3 linked regions of the Sus scrofa genome follow. The protein of the gene in region 1 interacts with the protein of each later gene in a biochemical or structural test. Links are inferred from orthologs where the notes say so. Each region holds a gene or a part of one and is shown in the gene's direction. Other genes may lie near its edges. The genes, in order: SIRPA, MATK and PTPN11.

Evidence for each region.
Region 2: the proteins of SIRPA (region 1) and MATK form a complex in vitro, tested with the Homo sapiens proteins (3 studies listed by BioGRID, with this or other methods). The link is inferred for Sus scrofa from reciprocal best matches to the Homo sapiens genes SIRPA and MATK.
Region 3: the proteins of SIRPA (region 1) and PTPN11 form a complex in vitro, tested with the Homo sapiens proteins (2 studies listed by BioGRID). The link is inferred for Sus scrofa from reciprocal best matches to the Homo sapiens genes SIRPA and PTPN11.

The regions. Positions count from the first base shown.
Region 1 is NC_010459.5:33,582,951-33,586,601, reverse strand, and holds part of SIRPA (tyrosine-protein phosphatase non-receptor type substrate 1 precursor), read left to right. Parts: intron 1-1,509; coding exon 1,510-1,827; intron 1,828-2,385; coding exon 2,386-2,715; intron 2,716-3,651. UniProt on the Homo sapiens protein: Immunoglobulin-like cell surface receptor for CD47. Acts as docking protein and induces translocation of PTPN6, PTPN11 and other binding partners from the cytosol to the plasma membrane.
Region 2 is NC_010444.4:74,916,731-74,919,559, forward strand, and holds the end of MATK (megakaryocyte-associated tyrosine-protein kinase), read left to right. Parts: intron 1-519; coding exon 520-619; intron 620-695; coding exon 696-780; intron 781-868; coding exon 869-942; intron 943-1,055; coding exon 1,056-1,251; intron 1,252-1,605; coding exon 1,606-1,692; intron 1,693-1,787; coding exon 1,788-2,027; 3' UTR 2,028-2,243; downstream 2,244-2,829.
Region 3 is NC_010456.5:39,229,462-39,233,112, reverse strand, and holds part of PTPN11 (tyrosine-protein phosphatase non-receptor type 11), read left to right. Parts: intron 1-24; coding exon 25-121; intron 122-1,116; coding exon 1,117-1,196; intron 1,197-1,317; coding exon 1,318-1,476; intron 1,477-3,341; coding exon 3,342-3,473; intron 3,474-3,651. UniProt on the Homo sapiens protein: Acts downstream of various receptor and cytoplasmic protein tyrosine kinases to participate in the signal transduction from the cell surface to the nucleus. Positively regulates MAPK signal transduction pathway. Dephosphorylates GAB1, ARHGAP35 and EGFR.

The DNA.
Region 1 (3,651 bases):
GTAGGCCCACACCTGCAGCTCCAATCCGACCCCTAGCCTGGGAACTTCCATATGCTGCAAGTGAGGCCCTAAAAAGACCAAAAAAAAAAAAAAAAATCACAGGTGTTACTGATGAAGCACCTACTATGTGCCAGGCTCTGTGTTTTCCATACATCTTCACTCATCTTACCAGGGTGGTGTCTGTATCCACTTTGTCCAGGAGCAGACACTGAGGCTCAAGGATAAAGAACAGAGACCTTAAAATCATCAGTCCTTTGTGCAATGAGATGAACTCTGACCTTTTCTCCCCGGGTGCCCTTGGTCCGCTGCGTCTCCCCGAGCCGCGTCCCCCCGAGCCTCGTCCCATAGATAGGACCACACTGGGGCCTCCCTCACGGGGCTGGTGGGAGAACCAGAGAGTTGGAAGTCTTGGAGGCATTGGCCAGCCTCGGGCTCGCATAAAAGGTAACCGATCACAGCATCTCGTCCCTTGAGCGACATCCAGGATGCTGGTGTTTTTATGACTTATTCAAGTAACACTTCTTTACTAGGTCCTCAAAACGTTTGATGAGTCTTAGGAAGCAAGTTAAATATTTACCAGTGCAAATATTTATCATATTTGCCATCTGCCGACTTTTACAGGAAGTGTTGGGTAATAATGAACAGTTTGGAGACACCCTAGGGCCCTTCTCCAGGGAGAAGCCCTCGCTTTGGATGTGCGGGTCTCTGTGCTTCGGGTGCTCTGTAGGCCTGTGTCTGTCTCTTCTGATTCAGTAACAATTAAGAAATTAACCATCTTTGGTTTCTCGGCATTGGCTTGCTCCTTCCTTTTCCAAGGCAGAGATTGGCAGATAAGTCTTACGGGAATATCTGGGAAGAATGGAACCTGTGGAGTACATTTTTAATACCTGAAGGGACAGCTCTGGATATAAATACAGTTCAGGTCAAAGAGAGATCCGTGTTGGTTCAGTTTTGTTTAGCATCTTGTGGTTTCCTCAGAGCAAAAATGCTTCCACTGCCCGCTTCAACCCTCGCTGGCACCCTGGGAAGGAGGATGTCCGCTGTCCCATGTCACAGACAAGGAGCTGGGAGGTGCCACGGCCACACTTCTCGTCCAGCCTGGTTCAGCTTCCGTGGCAGTCCCACTATGCCCCTGCTTCCCCTGCATTTACTTCTGTAAACACATCTCTGAAGTTAGTTAAGTTTTCCAGGGGAGGCCGGCTAAGAACAGTTAATGGGAAGAGTGAAACCATCAATCTTTACTCTTGTCCCTGTGCCCAGATTGCTGGGACATCCCCTGGCAGAGAAGAGAAGGACTTTGAACTTGGGCTCAGGTTTCCATGTGGGCCCTACCCAGAGCTCACCTCTGGCAACCTGTGTCCCTTTGAAAGTTGAGGATGGTGACCTGCCAGCCCAGCATTATCAGGGGGATTAAACATAATATGTGCGAAGGTTCTTAAGTGCCTGACGCTTATCCTTAGTGATGGAAGTCACGCTCATGTTGATTGTTTAAAAATGCTCCTTTTGTAGCCAAGCCCTCTCGGCCCGTGGTCTCAGGCCCTGCGGCGAGGGCCACACCTGAGCAGACAGTGCGCTTCACCTGCAAATCCCACGGCTTCTCCCCCAGAAACATCTCCCTGAAATGGTTCAAAAATGGCAATGAGCTCCCAGCCTCCCAGACCAGCGTGGAGCCCGAGGGAAACGTTTCCTACAGCATCTCCAGCACCACCGAGGTGCTGCTGGCCCCGGGGGATGTGCACTCCCAGGTCATCTGCGAGGTGGCCCACGTCACCCTGCAAGGGGGCCCTCCTCTCCGTGGAACTGCCAACTTGTCTGAGACCATCCGAGGTAGATACCCTCACATCAGCCCACGGCCACACCTGCCCCAACCCCCAGCCTGCCCCTCCCCCTGCCTTGAACTGCCTCGAATCTGCTTCCTGACAGTCCTGCCCAACCACCAGGCTCCTGGCTGTGCTGGCCACTCACTGCTGCCTTAAAGGCAGCCGCAAGGTGGACACCAGTCATGTCCAGGCCCTGTGCTCAGAGGTTCCCTGACTCGACCCAGAGCATCTCCAACGACGGAGCACCTGCTCTAAGCCAGGCCCCCGTGTGCTTGGTGATTTCATGGGTTTTGCGCCAGTTATGATATTCCCACCGCATGCCAGGGGCTGTGCTTGTTGATTTCCCTCCTTATACCCCAATGACGGGTCCAGGAGCACCTACTGTGTGCCCTGCACTGTGCTCAGTGCTTTCATTCATAGGCCCAGAGCCCCTCGGTGTGAGAGCACCCGTGCCTGCCTGGCTCGGTCCTGGGTGACTCCCTGCTGTGCTGGGAGCTGGGATCCAGCCCCTTCCCCATGACCTGTCTGTTCCACAAGGTCAGAGCTTCTGCCTGTGCTGTTTCAGTTCCGCCCACCCTGGAGGTTACCCAACAGCCCCCGACGGGGAGCCAGGTGAATGTCACCTGCCTGGTGAAGAAGTTCTACCCCCAGCGCCTACAGCTGACCTGGCTGGAGAACAGAAACGTGTCCCGGACAGAAACGGCCTCGACCCTCATGGAGAACAAGGATGGGACCTTCAACCGGACCAGCTGGCTCCTGGTGAACTCATCTGCCCACAGGGAGGCTGTGCTGCTCACCTGTCAGGTGGAGCATGATGGGCAGCCGGCGGTCACCAAAAACTATACCCTGGAGGTTGTCACTCACCAGAAGGAGCAGGGTGCAGATGCAGTCCTTGGTGAGGCCACCACTCCAACTGACCGGGCTCTTTTTTTTTTTTCTTTTTTTAAATGCTAAAATAATGATTCATGCTTATTCGAGAACAATCTAGAAAGTCGGTAGATATTAAATAGAAGTTTGAAGTGCGTTCCCCTCTCCCAAATCCCATTCTCCAGGAGTCACGACTGGTAAGAGAATCTGGTACCTTCCTGATAGATCTTTTGGCGTAAATATCCTTCAAGAAAGAAAGTAGGGAGAGGAGGGAGATCATCCGGTTCAGAGCGTCCTGCCTCTCGTGTTCACCTACTAACAGCCACTGTGCTCACCACCCCCTGTCCGCCACGTCCCTCCTGCCTGCTCTTTCTTGCCTTGGCTCAGTCTCCCGGCTGCCGTCACAAGGCCGCCCCCTGGGAAGGGGCGCAGGGGCTTCACACCATCTGCGCTTACCTCGGGTACAATCAGGGCTGCGTGCCTTGGATATATTCTGTTACATGCGCAGGTATGTCCGTGGGACGATTTACCAAAGAGCTTTTCTAGGCCCCAGTACATGCCCGTTTAAGACCGTGGGGATGCTGCCACTCTCCTGGGAGAACAAAAGGTGTCAGCCCTCTTCCACCTGCTGTCAGCGTCTCTCTCTTCTTCCTTTAAGATGGCAGCACCTCGTTGGCATTTGGTGCCACTGTGGAATGTTCCATCACCTGTACGCTTGTGTATAGCAGACTCTGAATGGATTAGAATAGAGGCCAGTTCCTTCCTTTGTGCTTCCTTCAAGGGAACGGCTCTGAAGAAGCCTTGGGGCCTGCCAGGGTGCCCTTTGCTGCCACAGATGGCTGGTTTTCACAGGATAGGCCCAGCACTGGGAGACAGGATGGGTGGACCCACTCTGGCTGTCACAGCCTTGTGGGGACTTGGACAAGCCTGTGCCTGTCTCTGGGCTGATCCACCAGCTCCTGGC
Region 2 (2,829 bases), on another chromosome or scaffold:
TAAATAAATAAAATTTTAAAAACTGGAGTCTTTTTGTGGCACAGCAGGTTACATAACGATCTGGCATTTTTACTGTGGCAGCTTGGTTTGCTGTGGAGGTGTGGGTTCCATCCCTGGCCTGGTGCAATGGGTTAAAGGATCTGTCATTGTCACAGCTCTGGTGTGGGTCGAGGCTGCTGCTCAGATTCAGTCCCTGGCCCAGGAACTTCCATGTGCCTCGGGCACAGCCATAACATTAAAATAACAAAAATTAAATAAACAAAAAAAAACAACTAAAAATGTAAAAACTCATTCTGAGCTTGCAGGCCTTGCAAAAACCCACACAGGACTGATTTGGACCCTGAAGCTGGAGTTTGCAGACCCCTGGCTTAGGTGATTCACTTTGCTCAGGGGTCTGGAACCTCTAGGGTGAGGGGTTTCCAGGCCTGGGGGCCACAGCAGGGTAGGCCTCTGTGGGGGTTGATGTGAGTGGGTATGTCCCTGTTTCTGCCCTGACCTCTGCCCCCACCCACCCCTTAGCCGTCCTGCAGGGCGAGTACCTGGGACAGAAGGTGGCAGTGAAGAACATCAAGTGCGACGTGACGGCCCAGGCCTTCCTGGACGAGACAGCGGTCATGACGTGAGTCCTGGTGAGGGGAGAGCACTCTAGGTAGGGGGTCCCAACCCACCCTCACCCCACGCCCGCCTGCCCCCAGGAAGATGCAGCACAAGAACCTGGTGCGCCTGCTGGGTGTGATCCTGCACCAGGGCCTCTACATCGTCATGGAGCACGTCAGCAAGGTGGGAGAGGGGCCCAAAGGTCTCCTGGGGTGGGGGGACCCCCGAGCAGCCTGGAACACTGCCCCACCACGCCTGTGCTCCCCTGCAGGGTAACCTGGTGAACTTTCTACGGACGCGGGGCCGGGCCCTTGTGAACACCCCCCAGCTCCTGCAGTTTTCCCTGTGAGTGGGGCTCCCAGGGGATGGGGAAACTAGGACATGGAGCAGGGAGGGGCCTGGCCTTGGGGGTCTGTGGCCCAGGCACTGGAGCCTCCTGCCCCCCACCTCCCCAACAGGCATGTGGCCGAGGGCATGGAATACCTGGAGAGCAAGAAGCTGGTGCACCGTGACCTGGCTGCCCGCAACATCCTTGTGTCCGAGGACCTGGTGGCTAAGGTCAGCGACTTTGGCCTGGCCAAAGCTGAGCGCAAGGGGCTGGACTCCAGCCGGCTGCCGGTCAAGTGGACGGCACCCGAAGCCCTCAAACATGGGGTGAGCCCCCGCCTTAGCCCCCAGGGACCTTGGAACCTAGCTCCACTCTATGACCGTGGGCCTGTCTCTTGGCCTCTCTGAACCTCCATGGGAAATGGCTCTGCCTCCCCAATAAGCCCTTGGCCCATAATTGTTCCTTTTAGTTCCTTCCTGGGCCTCGGACTCCTCATTTCTGAAACAGTCCTGGGCTCAGTACTGAGAGCAAGGATAACCTTGTTCTTGCACCGAGTCTGAATTGGGGAATTCATGGGAGAAGACAAGAGAGTGAAGTTCAACCCAGGAGGACATCCTGGAGGAAGCAGGGGGTGGAGCAGAAGCCCTGAGCAGTCCCTCCTCACTCTGATCACCCAACAGAAGTTCTCCAGCAAGTCAGATGTTTGGAGTTTTGGGGTGCTGCTGTGGGAGGTCTTCTCATACGGCCGGGCTCCATACCCCAAGATGGTGAGCAGGGTCCAGGGGGAGGGACTGGGTCCCAGGCAGGTCTAGGGGTCGTGATCCTGACCCCCAGCCCACACCGGCATGCTCTCTGCCTACAGTCGCTGAAGGAGGTGTCAGAGGCCGTGGAGAAGGGGTACCGCATGGAGCCCCCCGAGGGCTGCCCGGGCCCCATCCACGCCCTCATGGGCAGCTGCTGGGAGGCAGAGCCTGCTCGTCGGCCACCCTTCCGCAAACTGGCCGAGAAGCTGGCCCGGGAGCTGCGCAGCGCAGGCCCCTCAGCCCCCAGTGGAGGGCAGGATGCAGATGGTCCCACCTTGACACGCAGCCAGGAGCCCTGACCCTGCCCACGGGGCCTCGGCCCCCGGAGGACTGAAAGTGCAGGGCACAGGGTGGGACGTGGGCCAGGCCTGGAGAGGGGCAAGGCCGGCCAGCTGCCTGCCTCGGTGGTGTCACAGGGGCAGGGCTGGGTGGGGGCTCTGGGCCACCTGTGGGCACCCCAGCCACAGGGAGGTGAAGGACTGGCACCTAGATAAAGACTGGTTCCAAGGACTGGGTGTCTGCCTCTCTCTCTGCTCCCCCTGTGTCCACACTGGGGGCCCCCTGTCACTCAGCCAGGGGGCCACCTGCCTGCCCACTTGTCTGTCCACTGAGGGGTTCACCCAGCTAGGACCTTGCAGCCCCCGGGGGCAAAGATTTCCCTGGGGATGGAGCCAGGAGACCCCCAGGCCAGGGATCACAGCCACCCGTGGACCCATTTGCTAATGGGTCCCCACTAATGGGTTCCCCACCTCGTTTGGTGGTGAGGACCCCACTATAGTCCTCAGCATCTCAGGAACAGACAACAGTGGGCCAGTGCCAGAGGCCACAGAGGTCTAATCTCCTGTCCCAGCATCCTCTTCTGCTCCCAGCCCTTGCCCCTCAGAGATGGCATGTGGGAGCCCAGGGAGGGCCTGCCACTGTGGTGATGTCCCTTCCTGGGGAGGCTCTACTGCCACCACCTGTGTTCTCCACCTGTCACGACCCAACATCCTGACCCAGTGACTCTGAAGGACACCGAAAAAAGCCAGCAGCACAGCCTGTCTCAAGGCCCCGCTCTCCTGTCCACTGTCTCATGGGGGCTGGGGCTCTAGGCTTGAATCC
Region 3 (3,651 bases), on another chromosome or scaffold:
ATATCTACTTTTGTTTCTCTCTAGACACTACAACAACAGGAGTGCAAGCTTCTCTATAGCCGAAAAGAGGGTCAGAGGCAAGAAAATAAAAACAAAAATAGATATAAAAACATCCTGCCCTGTAAGTATCAATGTATTTCTCAATATCAGTCACTTTTGGAGATTTTTTTTTTTTTCAGGGCTGTACCCATGGCATATGTAGGTTCCCAGGCTAGGGGTCAAATTAGAGCTATAGCCGCTGGCCTATGCCACAGTCACAGCAATGCCAGATCCTTAACCCACTGAGCGAGGCCAGGGATCAAACCTATGTCCTGAAGGATATTAGTCAGATTTGTTTCCACTGTGCTGTGATGGGAATTCCACTTTTGGAGATTTTGATTCCCCAAGGCTTGCCATCTCCCAGGGTCTCACCACGATCCTCAGGGGTTCCAGGCTTGTGTCCTTGCTCTGCAGACGTTGGCGCATGTACTTTTGTACAGAATTTAGTCAGTAAATAATTGTCATCAGAATCTTGTCATTTAGATACTGTATTTAATGCTACTTCATTAAAAGAACTTTTTATTATGGAAAGTTTAAAATATATTCAAAAGTAGAGTAGTATAAAGAACCCACGGGTACCCATCACCCAGCTCCAACAATTGTCAACTCATGCCCAGTCTTGATTCATCTATATTCTGTTACACTTTGCTTCTCTCCCTGAATTATATTGAAGCATATCTCAGATATCATTGTTATTTATCTGTACTTTACTCTTCTTTTTTTTTTTTAAAATCCTTTTTGTTTTGAAATGATTTTTAGATTCACACACGAAGTTACAAAGATATGTAGGGGGTTTCCCTTGTACCCTTTACCCAGCTTCTCCCAGTGAAAATGTCTTATCTATCCATAGTGCATTATCAACACCAGGGAATTGACATTACTACTTTAGTCTCCTTAAAGAAAACATTATGAGGCCTCATGTTCAGATTATTGTCATATTCACTTAGAGTTTAGTTTTTGATGCTGTTTAATCATTAAATGAACACAACTTGGACGAAGTTGAGGTTGAACTGATTTGAACTGACCTGCCCTGAGAGGTCTGGGTACTTTTGTGACTATGCTCTCGTTTTCTTCCAGTTGATCATACCAGAGTCGTCTTACATGATGGTGATCCCAATGAGCCTGTTTCAGATTACATCAATGCAAATATCATCATGGTAAACTTGGCTTTTCACAGTGTTTCTGACTTTACCTTGCTAGCCGATTTTTGTATTATAAATCCTTCCTTCCTAAAAGCAGCTTTCAGATGTTTGAAGGATTTTCTTCCTAAATTTCTAGCCTGAATTTGAAACCAAGTGCAACAACTCAAAGCCCAAAAAGAGTTACATTGCCACCCAAGGCTGCCTGCAAAACACGGTGAATGACTTTTGGAGGATGGTATTTCAGGAGAACTCCCGAGTAATTGTCATGACAACAAAAGAAGTGGAGAGAGGAAAGGTATACTACATACTCTGCTTTTTTAAAGTATTGGACATGTCAGGTTGATCATGTTAAGAACTGAATAAACACATTTCACTTTCTCTTACCCTCTGGAAAAAAGGGATCAGGAGAAATTTGGTTATGACATACTTTGGTATAGTTTTCTTTATATTTCTTCTGCTTGGAAGTCATGGAACTTCTTGGGTCTGTGGACTTACAATTTTCTTCAAATGTGAGTAATGTTTACTATGTCTTCAAATATGTACCCTCAACCCACTTTTTCTGGATACCAATTACACGTATATTAGGCTCTTTAAAGTTGTCCTATTGCTCATTGAGACCTGGTTCCCCTCTGTGTTTTGTTTTGGATAAGTTTCTTTTGCTATACATCTTTCAGTTAATCTTTTCTTCTGCAGGGTATAATCTGCTGTTTGTCTTCTCCAGTGAAATTTTCATGCAGACCTTCTGATAATCTCCTCCCTTGGTATTCCCCCGGTGCACAGAAGGAAAACCAGACTCTGGACTGCCTTTGATTCCTGGGCTTTAATTTAAAGCTAAAGTATTAGGGCTTGCAGTTTAGAATTTGTTTGCCAAGGTTTATATCAAGAGTTTGGGAAGCTGGGAGGGGAGCACAGTACTTTGCAGAAGTGTAGTGTCAGCTACGGTGTTAGGAGTTGTGGTTTAATTTGTGTTCTCTTGAGCGACCAGCAGTCCTCAGAATGGATTGACCACTAACCGCATTGATACACTTAATAGTAAGTGTTTATTTGGGATAATAAAAATTGAATCAAATCTGTCAAAGAGGTATTTGGATCTGCAGCATACTAGAGGGAAAGACAAATTCAGAATAATAAATAAAAGACCGCATAAACTGTGCCAAGCAAAAAACTAGCACCATCCATTAATTCTTCTGTCGAACTTTCCTTCTACCATTTTTTTCCCCACTTCATCATCGTGGGGAATGTCTGTAGCTGCTGTCTTATTTCTTGTGTAATAACAGTGAATTTCTCTGTTTTCCCGATGTACAAGGTAGCTTTCTCTTGCTGATGTTTGTGTCTTGGTGGTTGTGGAAAGTGAGTGGTGTGGGTGACCGCTCCCAGGAAAAAACAAGACACAAAAGCGTTCTCTGCCCAGGATACATCACCAAATACATGCAGACTCATCTCTCAGTGAGCGAAATCTCTTCCTTTTTGGCAGCAAGCATGATTCTCTTGGTGCCATGTTTTCCAATCTGCCTGCTCTGAAGCCAGCAGCTATTGCGGGCTTGGCGTTCCCAGGCACCCAGTTATGTGAAGGTGGCATGTGTAGCAGGTATCAAATGGATCTGGATATAGAAAAAGCAGCTGGTTCAGACCCCATATCAGCTGCCTTTCTGTGCTGGAGTTATTCACACTTAGGTTAGATAAGGCACGGAGGCCTCCCACACTGGTGCGGAAAGGAACCAGACAGTCTGGCTCACTGGGCAGCCCATCCACCTCCAGAGTCCCTGCTCGCCTTCCCTGCAGAGTGACTGGCAGATTCCGGAATTCAGAGCTCAGTGGTTGCTAGACAAGCACCCTTGCATGGGGTAGTTCCCCTCTCTCTGCCTCAGGTTCTTTGGGAGAGAAATAAATGAGCACCGGCTCTCCTCTGACTTGTGGCTTAGGGCAGACAGCTCTGCAGTGGTGGCTTTCTCTTCCCACTTCTCCTTGGTTCACCATGCACCGACTTTTCTTATTTGAACTCTTCTTTCCTTTTCTTTGAAAATCCAACAGTTAGATACCAGATAGGCTCTCTTCCAAGTTAGCGGTCGTTAAGACTCAAACATTGGTGGTTCTCTGCTGCTTTAGGCTTTCATACCAGAGTTCACAGAGATTAACTGTCTTTTCTCTGATCCCTTCCAGAGTAAATGTGTCAAATACTGGCCTGATGAGTATGCGCTAAAAGAATACGGGGTCATGCGCGTTAGGAACGTCAAAGAAAGTGCCGCTCATGACTATACATTAAGAGAACTTAAACTTTCAAAGGTCGGACAAGTAAGTATATTGTCGTACTTTAGAGACTTTGTAACTGCTAATCCAGTGTGGTGCAGTTACTTCTGTTGGCAAACATTCAGGCATTCCTTCACTTATTGATTGACGTCCATTTGTTGGGTACCTTTTATGTACCAGGGACCGTGGAGGTACTACTGGTACATCGCAAACCAGATCAGCG